Linked DNA regions of Caenorhabditis elegans. The protein of the gene in region 1 interacts with the protein of each later gene in a pairwise test. Each region holds a gene or a part of one and is shown on either strand. Other genes may lie near its edges.

Evidence for each region.
Region 2: the proteins of clec-190 (region 1) and ugt-41 interact in a two-hybrid assay, tested with the Caenorhabditis elegans proteins (one large-scale study listed by BioGRID).

What each region holds. Positions count from the first base shown.
Region 1 is NC_003282.8:15,124,181-15,127,776, forward strand, and holds clec-190 (C-type LECtin), read right to left. Parts: upstream 1,942-3,596; 5' UTR 1,929-1,941; coding exon 1,844-1,928; intron 1,801-1,843; coding exon 1,705-1,800; intron 1,636-1,704; coding exon 1,435-1,635; intron 1,270-1,434; coding exon 1,154-1,269; exon of another isoform or gene 1,147-1,153; intron 1,092-1,146; coding exon 1,015-1,091; intron 974-1,014; coding exon 920-973; intron 873-919; coding exon 800-872; 3' UTR 751-799; downstream 1-750. Other genes in the region: M199.7 (PAN-3 domain-containing protein), read left to right, coding at 79-213; M199.9 (uncharacterized protein), read right to left, coding at 3,327-3,418, 3,466-3,596.
Region 2 is NC_003283.11:7,160,494-7,165,570, forward strand, and holds ugt-41 (glucuronosyltransferase), read right to left. Parts: upstream 3,103-5,077; 5' UTR 3,073-3,102; coding exon 2,923-3,072; intron 2,829-2,922; coding exon 2,748-2,828; intron 2,699-2,747; coding exon 2,560-2,698; intron 2,309-2,559; coding exon 2,099-2,308; intron 2,054-2,098; coding exon 1,914-2,053; intron 1,867-1,913; coding exon 1,634-1,866; intron 1,528-1,633; coding exon 1,391-1,527; intron 1,342-1,390; coding exon 1,256-1,341; intron 1,209-1,255; coding exon 976-1,208; intron 929-975; coding exon 754-928; 3' UTR 575-753; downstream 1-574. Other genes in the region: str-204 (Serpentine receptor class r-10), read left to right, coding at 18-330, 384-523; srh-83 (Serpentine Receptor, class H), read left to right, coding at 4,017-4,191, 4,232-4,390, 4,634-5,077.

The DNA.
Region 1 (3,596 bases):
AAAAACAGTCGGTCGTTGTGCATAAAGTTTAAAAATGAAAATTTTAAAGTTCAGGCATGTTAATAAAATATTTTTCAGGGATTCACAAGGCATGACCAAAGTGTACAAAACTTTGATGTTTATCAATTTATGACTGATTCCTCAGCTGGCGCTACAGAAGGCAAACAGTGTATGGTAGTTGTGGGTGAAATGGTGAAAACGACGGAAAGATAGAGTATGTCGAGTGAGTTGTTATAATGTTTCAAACAAAAATACCACTTTAAATTCAGGTGCGGAACATCGTTCACTACTCCTATTTCGTATGCGATATGTGCAAAAGATGCTTTAAAATAGATGATATTTAATAGTTTTAGAAAGACAATTTTATTTTGCAGTTAAATTTTTGTTTTTGTAAGTTTCCTCGTGTCTTTACTGCAAAACATGTTGAATTGGCTCATAAATATTGTTGATAGTAGCAGTGAAATTTCTCAAACCAGTTTCAAAGTCTTATGTTGCTCTTTTAGATCAATTTTGTTTGAGTAAATGAAAACTTTCTTGCAATTTTTCTTATTATTGCTAGACACATTTAAGCACAAGTTGGAGCCCGTTAAATGACGGATGTTGCAAAATAACTTTGTAAGACGAGGGCCTGCTCAGTTTTGACTTTTTCAACTTGCAACTTTATAAAAAATGTGCTGAATTTTTAGAGAGATGGCTTATTTTATGACGTTCGACATAATTTTTTAAAAGATTTTTCAATGCTTTAAAATTGAATGCTGACATATTTATTTGAATAGTTGCAAACACACAATTCCATAAATTATTTCTTACACGGAGCGAATCTTCCGCACATGAACAAATCCTGAGGATAGTCACTTTCCAAAACGTTGCAGCTGCAAGCATACCTATGTTATCAAATAATTATAAGTGAGAAACTCACTTGGCCACATATAACTTTAAGTTTGTCGGATTGGCAACAATACATTTTTTCAATCTATAAACATTAATTTATTTGCGCTTTGAGATGTTTCTTACGGTGAGAAACGGGCAGATTGCTGCAATTCATTGAAAAAGGAATCAATCGACATTACAAGATCAGTCCATTTTGTTCCCTGAAATGTACAGTTGTAGATTGAAAACAAATGATCAATATAGCATGTAGATTGATGCATACCTTTGTTATCGTACAATTGCCAAAATTCGATATCGAAGCACATGTCTCCAATCTGCGTGCCCCAATCATAACTTGTGATACAGGTTTAATGTTCGGGAATCGATTTTTGAGTAGAGCTGAAAATAATTGTCTGCTTATATTTTTTGGGAATTTCATTTTTGGGTAAACAATTTACAAGGATTTTTTTAGGCAAGGAATATGGACTATCCAAAAACTCATTTGTTTTGGAAAATGTCGTTACACTTAAAAAAAACTATTTTATACTCCACGACCTAACTCACCAAAAACAGAAATGAATTCCCCCTTGTCCTTGAATCCAGTCATCACACCACCATAGCTGTTGCACACTTTTTCCGAGGTTTTATATAAATCGTTGGTTGCTTGGTTCCAGAACATGTTGATGCACCATTTCTTTTCTACATCATTATTGATTTTTCGATTAACCGAGATCCAACCGTCTGGACAATCGGATTGCTCGCATGCTGAAAATAAATTAATAATCCTTTGAAACAGTAAACCTTGTTTAAAAATAAATATTTAAAGTTGCTCACTTCCTGGCCAGAAAAATCCGGTTCCGTTTGGCCCTGGGGCACCTTGAGCTCCACGTGGTCCTTCACGTCCTTCACGCCCTCGCGGCCCGCGTTCAGCTGAATTTTAGGATTACGAATTTTATGCTTTCAGAAAACTTACGTTCACAATCATAATAGTCATAATGGTGTCTTCTTCCGGAAGCAAGAGCCAAGAAAGCGAAAAAAACAAGAGAAGCCTTGATCATTTTTCTTCGATGCTCTGGATCTGTTTGGGCTCAATATTTATAGCAGGACTGTATAAGGAAGTGACGAACCATGTCTGAAAACATAGAAAATTCGGGAGCGTTGGTAAAGATTAACTTCCGGGGACACCTCATGTATGTTTAGACATCTAACATCACACATGATTTTAATCGATTTGGTATCTCGGCTACCGTAGCGCAAGAAGAAAGCAACTCCCTGGATTAAAAAAAAACATTCATCTTGCTCTGCAAAATGTTTTTTTAATTTTGCCGTTTCATGTTGGCTTTAAAAATAGACGAAAATTGCTGATTCCAATCAGTAGAAGAAGACTCTCAAAAAGCATGCTCTTATAATTCAATTGATGTTTCAAGAAAAAAAAACTTAATCGTTGCATGAAAAAAAAAATATTCAGATATAAAAATACTATTTTAATATGTTTCCGAAAAACGAATCAGTTTCATGATGTCTTCAAAAAACTAGTCTGTAATAGTGATTAGTTGCCACAATTCTGAGAATCGTTGGCGAAAAATAAATGAATCTGATAAGCAAATTATGCGGCGCAGACACGTTTTTGAGCAATTTTCAAACTTTTACAACTAACTTGAATGGTTTCAAACTGGTTTTCAACGTTAATTGTTGAAGCAGAAAAAATAATTTCCTGTTTCACGATGCTCTTATAGTTTTATGTGAATGCTTCAGACTTCAAACTTCGTATGTAAAATTCGGCTACCGTAGCACCAAGAAAAAAATTCCTGAATAAAACAAAAATTCATCTGGTTTTGCAAAGAAGTTCTTAACACGCTATGATCACAACGATACTGATGTTTTTTTTTTAAATCTTGCCGTTTCATGTTGGCTGTAAATACAGACGCAAATTGCATTCTCAATTGATGTAAAGAAAGAAATAGTTTTTTTAAAATTAGATTTTCAGAAAGAAATACGGAAAAATATTCAATATTAAAAATTTGTTTAGATTAGAAGAAATTCATTTTTAAATTATAAACACACATTTTGATATAAGAAGTACTATTTTAATATGTTTCCAAACAAAAAAATTCCGTTTCATAATTTCCTTAAAAAACTTATCAACCCGACTTGAGTAGTTATCAGGTAGATACTTTTAGCCTCTGAATCGTCGTCAAAAATAAATGAAACTGATTTGGAAATTATGCGCCGCAGATACCGCTTTGAGCGATTTTCATTCTTTTACAACCAAATTTTATGTTTTAGGATTGGTTTTCAACGTTGACTGTTAAAGCAGAAAATCAATCATTTCCTGTTTCACAATGCCCTTATAGTTTCATGTGAATGCTTCAGATTTAATAAGGGTACCATTTTTTCTACTGCCAATTATGATTCATTTATTTCATTTTCAATTGCAAAAGCAATAGTCAATTATATCACTCCAAGTCTGGTCCCGGAGCTCCTGGCAGCCCTGGTGGTCCTGGTGGTCCACGGTATCCACGTGGTCCGCGATAATCTTTCAAGTCGTCTGGAATATTGGGTTTCGGATCATAAAAATCTACCAAACACACTTACAAGTCTCATAATCCATCTGGTATTCATATCCCGAGTTTTGGGGGTACTGCGGAGCTGGGTTTCCGTAAGAACCATAGGAATATGAGGCAGAAACGAAGGCAGTCAGAACAAGGAAGATCAGGAGCAACTTA
Region 2 (5,077 bases), on another chromosome or scaffold:
AACCGAAAATGTTTCAGAATGTTTCTATTGCAACCATTATCTATTTTGGGAAAAAATGCTACACAATCCTCAACTCTCTTGTACCACACACTAGCAAGTCTGAAAAGAATCGACGTCTTCAAAAGCAGTTGTACTTTGCTCTTGTCACTCAAACCCTCATCCCAATTGTTTTAATGCATATTCCAGTCTCTACGCTTTACTTTTCCGCGTTCTTTTGCATTGATCTTGGATCCATCAGCGGAATCGCTCCATTGGCAATTGCTCTCTACCCAACGCTTGATCCACTTCCCACTATGTTCATTATTGGACATTACAGAACTGTCGTGTTCAGTTAGTTATTAATTTATTAATATTAATTGAAATTCAAGCATTGAATATTTCAGATTGGATTTTATGGTTGCCACGAAAATTTGGAATCTGTTCCAAAAATTCGGTAAATCCTGAAATTGATGAAACAACTGTTCAAGATGGACCTGATGCAGTTACCCAAAGTAATGCAATAATTCAAGAATCACAAGTTTAATTCGGAACAATTGTAGTGTTTGCTTCAAATTTTTATAAAATTTTGAATTCAGTTGATCATAATAAACATTTATTCATTAAAATGATAATGCTTTTTTAAAGAATAGGGATTGTGAATAATGAAGAATGTTTTAAAATGTAGTAACTGTTACCTAGTTCATTACATGGTAAGTATTTATTTGCTACATTTTTCTGAGACTTTCACATTCACTACACTTTTCTCTAGAATATTTAATCCCGCTTTGATTTGATAGTCAATAATTTTACAATTTGTCTAATCATTATGAATACCACAAATATTACCAGTAAAACAAAACTCGTCAAGAATGCGATAACATCTAATAAATAATAGGCGGCAAATCCCATAGTTCGAAGATTACTATCTTGTGCCGGCTGCTCACCAAATCTGGAATTCCACGTTTTTATTAACTGTACATGTTATTGTAAACGTACCGAGCTGCAAACTCTGCATGTCTAACAAACAATTCCTTAGGTTTAGTTGGCTGATATTCCAATTTTTTCGCCAATTTCTCTGCGTTTTCCGAGTAACTTTCAGCGAAAAGTATACTATGCAAGGCAGATCGCAAGGTATTATAGTTTTCCAGATTAAATTTAGATATTTCAATTGATCCATTGTGGCGAGTGAGCATTTTTGAGTTGCGAATTTGATCGGCAAAAAGTGGGCACTAAAACTTGGATTCTTAGAGTATTCGTAATTTTTTCACTTATTTACCAAGAGCGCAGGTTTTCCGAGGTAGCTCAACTCATTGACACTTCCAAGACCTCCGTGAGTGAAAAATGCTGAGAGACGGGAATCAGCTGAAATTAGTGACTGACAAAAAGGTTTTTGATATTTTTAAGTACTTACCTAGAAGAGCCGTTTGAGGTACCCACTTGCTAAAAATTATATTTTCAGCTCCATTTGCAAAACTGGTTTCTTCTGATTCATACTTCCAAATAAAAGACACGTTTTTGAAGGATTTCATAACTTTTACCATATTTTCCCTGAAAATTAGATTTTTTGTTTTTGAACAATATAAAAGAAAATTTCAGTGGGGGAAGATAACAGTTCGATGAATGAAACACATTCAGAAAATAATTGCTCACTTACTTATAAAAATCTGGCATATAAATCGATTTGAACATTGATCCAAAAGAAATCAGCACATTATGAGGTCTCTTTTTGAGAATATTGTCCCATTTTTCATCGACTTTCTCACTTTTGAGCTTCTTCACATCTACAGTAATCCCACCAATTTCGATAGTTTTTGAAAGCAGTGGACGTGGAAAGTCTATATAAGGATTTGAGTTTATGAATACATATGGAGCACGATGGTATTCTGACTGAAATTATGAAAACAACTCTCTTTTGGTTTCAAGATCTTTCTTACCTCGACCAGCAAGTCTTTTGATGGGTCTTGAAGAGTTTTCCAGTTTGGAAATGCGATCAAAATTTGACCAAGATAGTAAGATATCGTATTTGTCAGTCGCTCTTGGAAATTCATAATGTTCCCAAAATTTGTGAAGTATCCTGTAAATTAGTAGTGTTTGACAGGAAAAATTTTAATCCAAATGCCTGATAAATAACTAGGGCTAACAGGTTCTCCAATAAGTTCTGCAAATCTGTAGTCATGTGTGATTGAAGTCACTGGGAGGAAGACTGGAATTTCGAGATATTCTTGAATTGCCTTCCCCATGAAAAAGAATGATTCGAAGAAAACTGCATCGTATTGAGGTCGATTATTCTTCAGATAATCCATTTGCGGTAGGGCATGGTCTCGGAAAGCTGAAGAGTACGGTTTTTAAATTTTTTCATAGATCTTTCAAGCGGTGTTATATGATGTTGTCAATATGACAACTGTTTCATAAATCTGAATGTTTAAAATTTTCGAGAAACGTTTTACGAGCGATTGCTTTCCAGTTAAACGACAGAAACAAGAAAAAAAGAGATCTGACTAAAAAATGATGCCCTTTTTGGAATTTGTTGCTCATGAATTCTTTTTTCTTGTTTATGTCATTGTCACATATTTAACTTACTTTTATAGCCATCTTCAGCCATTTTGAGAAACATTAAATAGCTGGGAATCGTTTCCAACATTGTGCCTTCTTGAGTCCAATACCTTGCAAAATCGTCATTTTCCATATTTTCGGTTAGTTGGTCTTGTTCTGTTGTTGTCTGAGATGCAGTTTTTATTGAAAAAAAATTAAATGCAAATTGAATTTACCTCTACGACTACTATGTCTTTTGTTGATTTTGTGTAGGAAATGTTTCGAAACTTGGATGAGATTATAATTGAGAGCACTGTCTGAAAAAATTTGATTAACTGTTCTCAAATATACTTTTAGTTTTTGTTTTCAAGGTTTTGAGACTTTCAGCATATTTCAATATTTAAGACGTACCACATTATGTCCAGCTTCTGTTAGAGAATCAGCAAGTTTTCCCATAAATGTAGAATGGCTGTGTCCAAAAGCTGGAGACACTACTAAATAGTTGAATCCCGAAGTATTCGAGATCGAAAGAACAAGCAACAAAATAATTAGTAAGTTCATGATTTGATAAGTAGACAACGAATTTGTGTCTCTGAACAACTTTCCCAGTCTCTTTTATAGATCTGTTAATGTGATTGATACTGTCACAAATTTCCCATTCTGTAGTTTGTGTTGATTATGCTACACTCCAATTATACAGTCACTTTTGAAAACATGATGTGAGTCAGAATAATCGCGAACAAACAGTTAGGTGGGTGGTAGCCCATAGTTGTCACCTGAATTGGTCTGAAAATTCCCGGCTGTCTTTGAAAATACAATTTGTTTATGGAAACGAAACATGTTCACGTGAAGATTTTGTGACTTCTTTCTGTTTTTGAACAATGAAAATTAATGCTATGACACTATCCTAATTTCCATCGTAAACAGTTTAATTGAAAAAAAAGATTCGTTATAGCATGTTTGCACTTTTGATTGGCATTGGTGTGACTTGTTGTCTAGAAATGATGGATTACGTGTTAATGATCGGAAACCGTTAAGTACATATTTGAAATTGAAAAGTGAAAAATGGGAACGGAAATTTCAAATCGCCAATAGTGGTTTTTAATTTTCTCTGTTTTTATCTGTTGTCCTTAAACAGGTTATCAACTTGTTAACTCCGTAAAGACAAAAAACTGCACAGTAGGCAAGAGGAAAGCGGGCGAAGAGGGGGTAAGAGGCGCTTTTTCAATTTTCGTATAACATTTTTTAAATAATATCAGGTGAAATTCCAACTGAAATATTTCAACGCTGAATTCTTTCCCCTCCAGCTGAACTCCAAATCCGAGCGTGAACTAACATGGGTCTTTTGTTTTTAATCAGTTAGCTGTATCCTTTTACAAGTTCTTTATTTTCAAAATATTTACCTTACTTTGAGAAAGCCGGAACTTTTTTCTTAATCATCCTATAAGTAAAAAACAGCTATAAAAAGTTAATACGCGAACACCACAAGAACACAATTTGTAAAAATGGGTTCTGTTCGAGAATATTATTTGACAAACTACACGAAATGTCCAAGATGTGACACATTTCTGTGCACCTGGCAAGAAGTTGCGTACACGTTTCATTCGATAACTATATTTTCTCTACCCTTCTACATTTTTGGAGGATACTGTATTTTATACAAAACTCCAAAGGAAATGAGCTCCTATCGAATTTTTTTATTTAAATTTTTTTATTTGAGAAATGTATTCCAGGACTTGTCTCGTGGACATTTTTCTCAATGTACTTGCTACGCCCTATCTGTTTTTCCCGACTCTCTCAGGATTTTCTGTCGGTTTACTCAACTTTTTGCGTGTCCCTCCAAAAATCCAAGTGTGGCTTGTGTTTCAGAGTTTAAATTGTTAGTTTTTCCTGGAATTCTAGAAATATAAATATGTCGATTATTATAAAAACACATTAACGGGTCGTTATAATATAGAAGCCAGTGTGCCAATGGAACGGTGTAGGGATCAGGCATACGTGCCTGGCGGATGCCTGTTTTTTATTCAGAATAATCTCCGCTCGTCGGCGCTTTAAGGCTGATTTGGAATTTTTACCACCTGCCGCTTTTTTCAAGAGCCGTTCTTTTAATTTAATTCTTCAGGGATGTTATTCTCAATGACAATGCTTTTGGAAAACCGACACAACTCAATTCTATTCAATAGATTCCAAATAACTAAAAACCGAACTAAAATCATATATTATTTGGTTCGTTATCTATCGGGTCTAATATATTCTATGTCTTTACTATTCTTCATACCAGAAGATCAAAATTCCGCACTACTCCAAGTTCTAACCAAAATACCATGCCCGTCTCAAGAATTTTTCACGGCTTCCGATGTTTTTGTATTGTGTATCGATGAGAACTACGTCACGTTCCTGGCACTATTCACAGGGATTGGTGTCTTGACAGAGATAGCTCAAATTGTATTTTTCTTAGCGTGTTGTGTATATTATTTATTTGTCTCGGTACGATCATTCGCTTCTAAAAAGACACGACAAATGCAAGTTAAATATTTTGCAAGTATAATTTTACAAATATCAATTC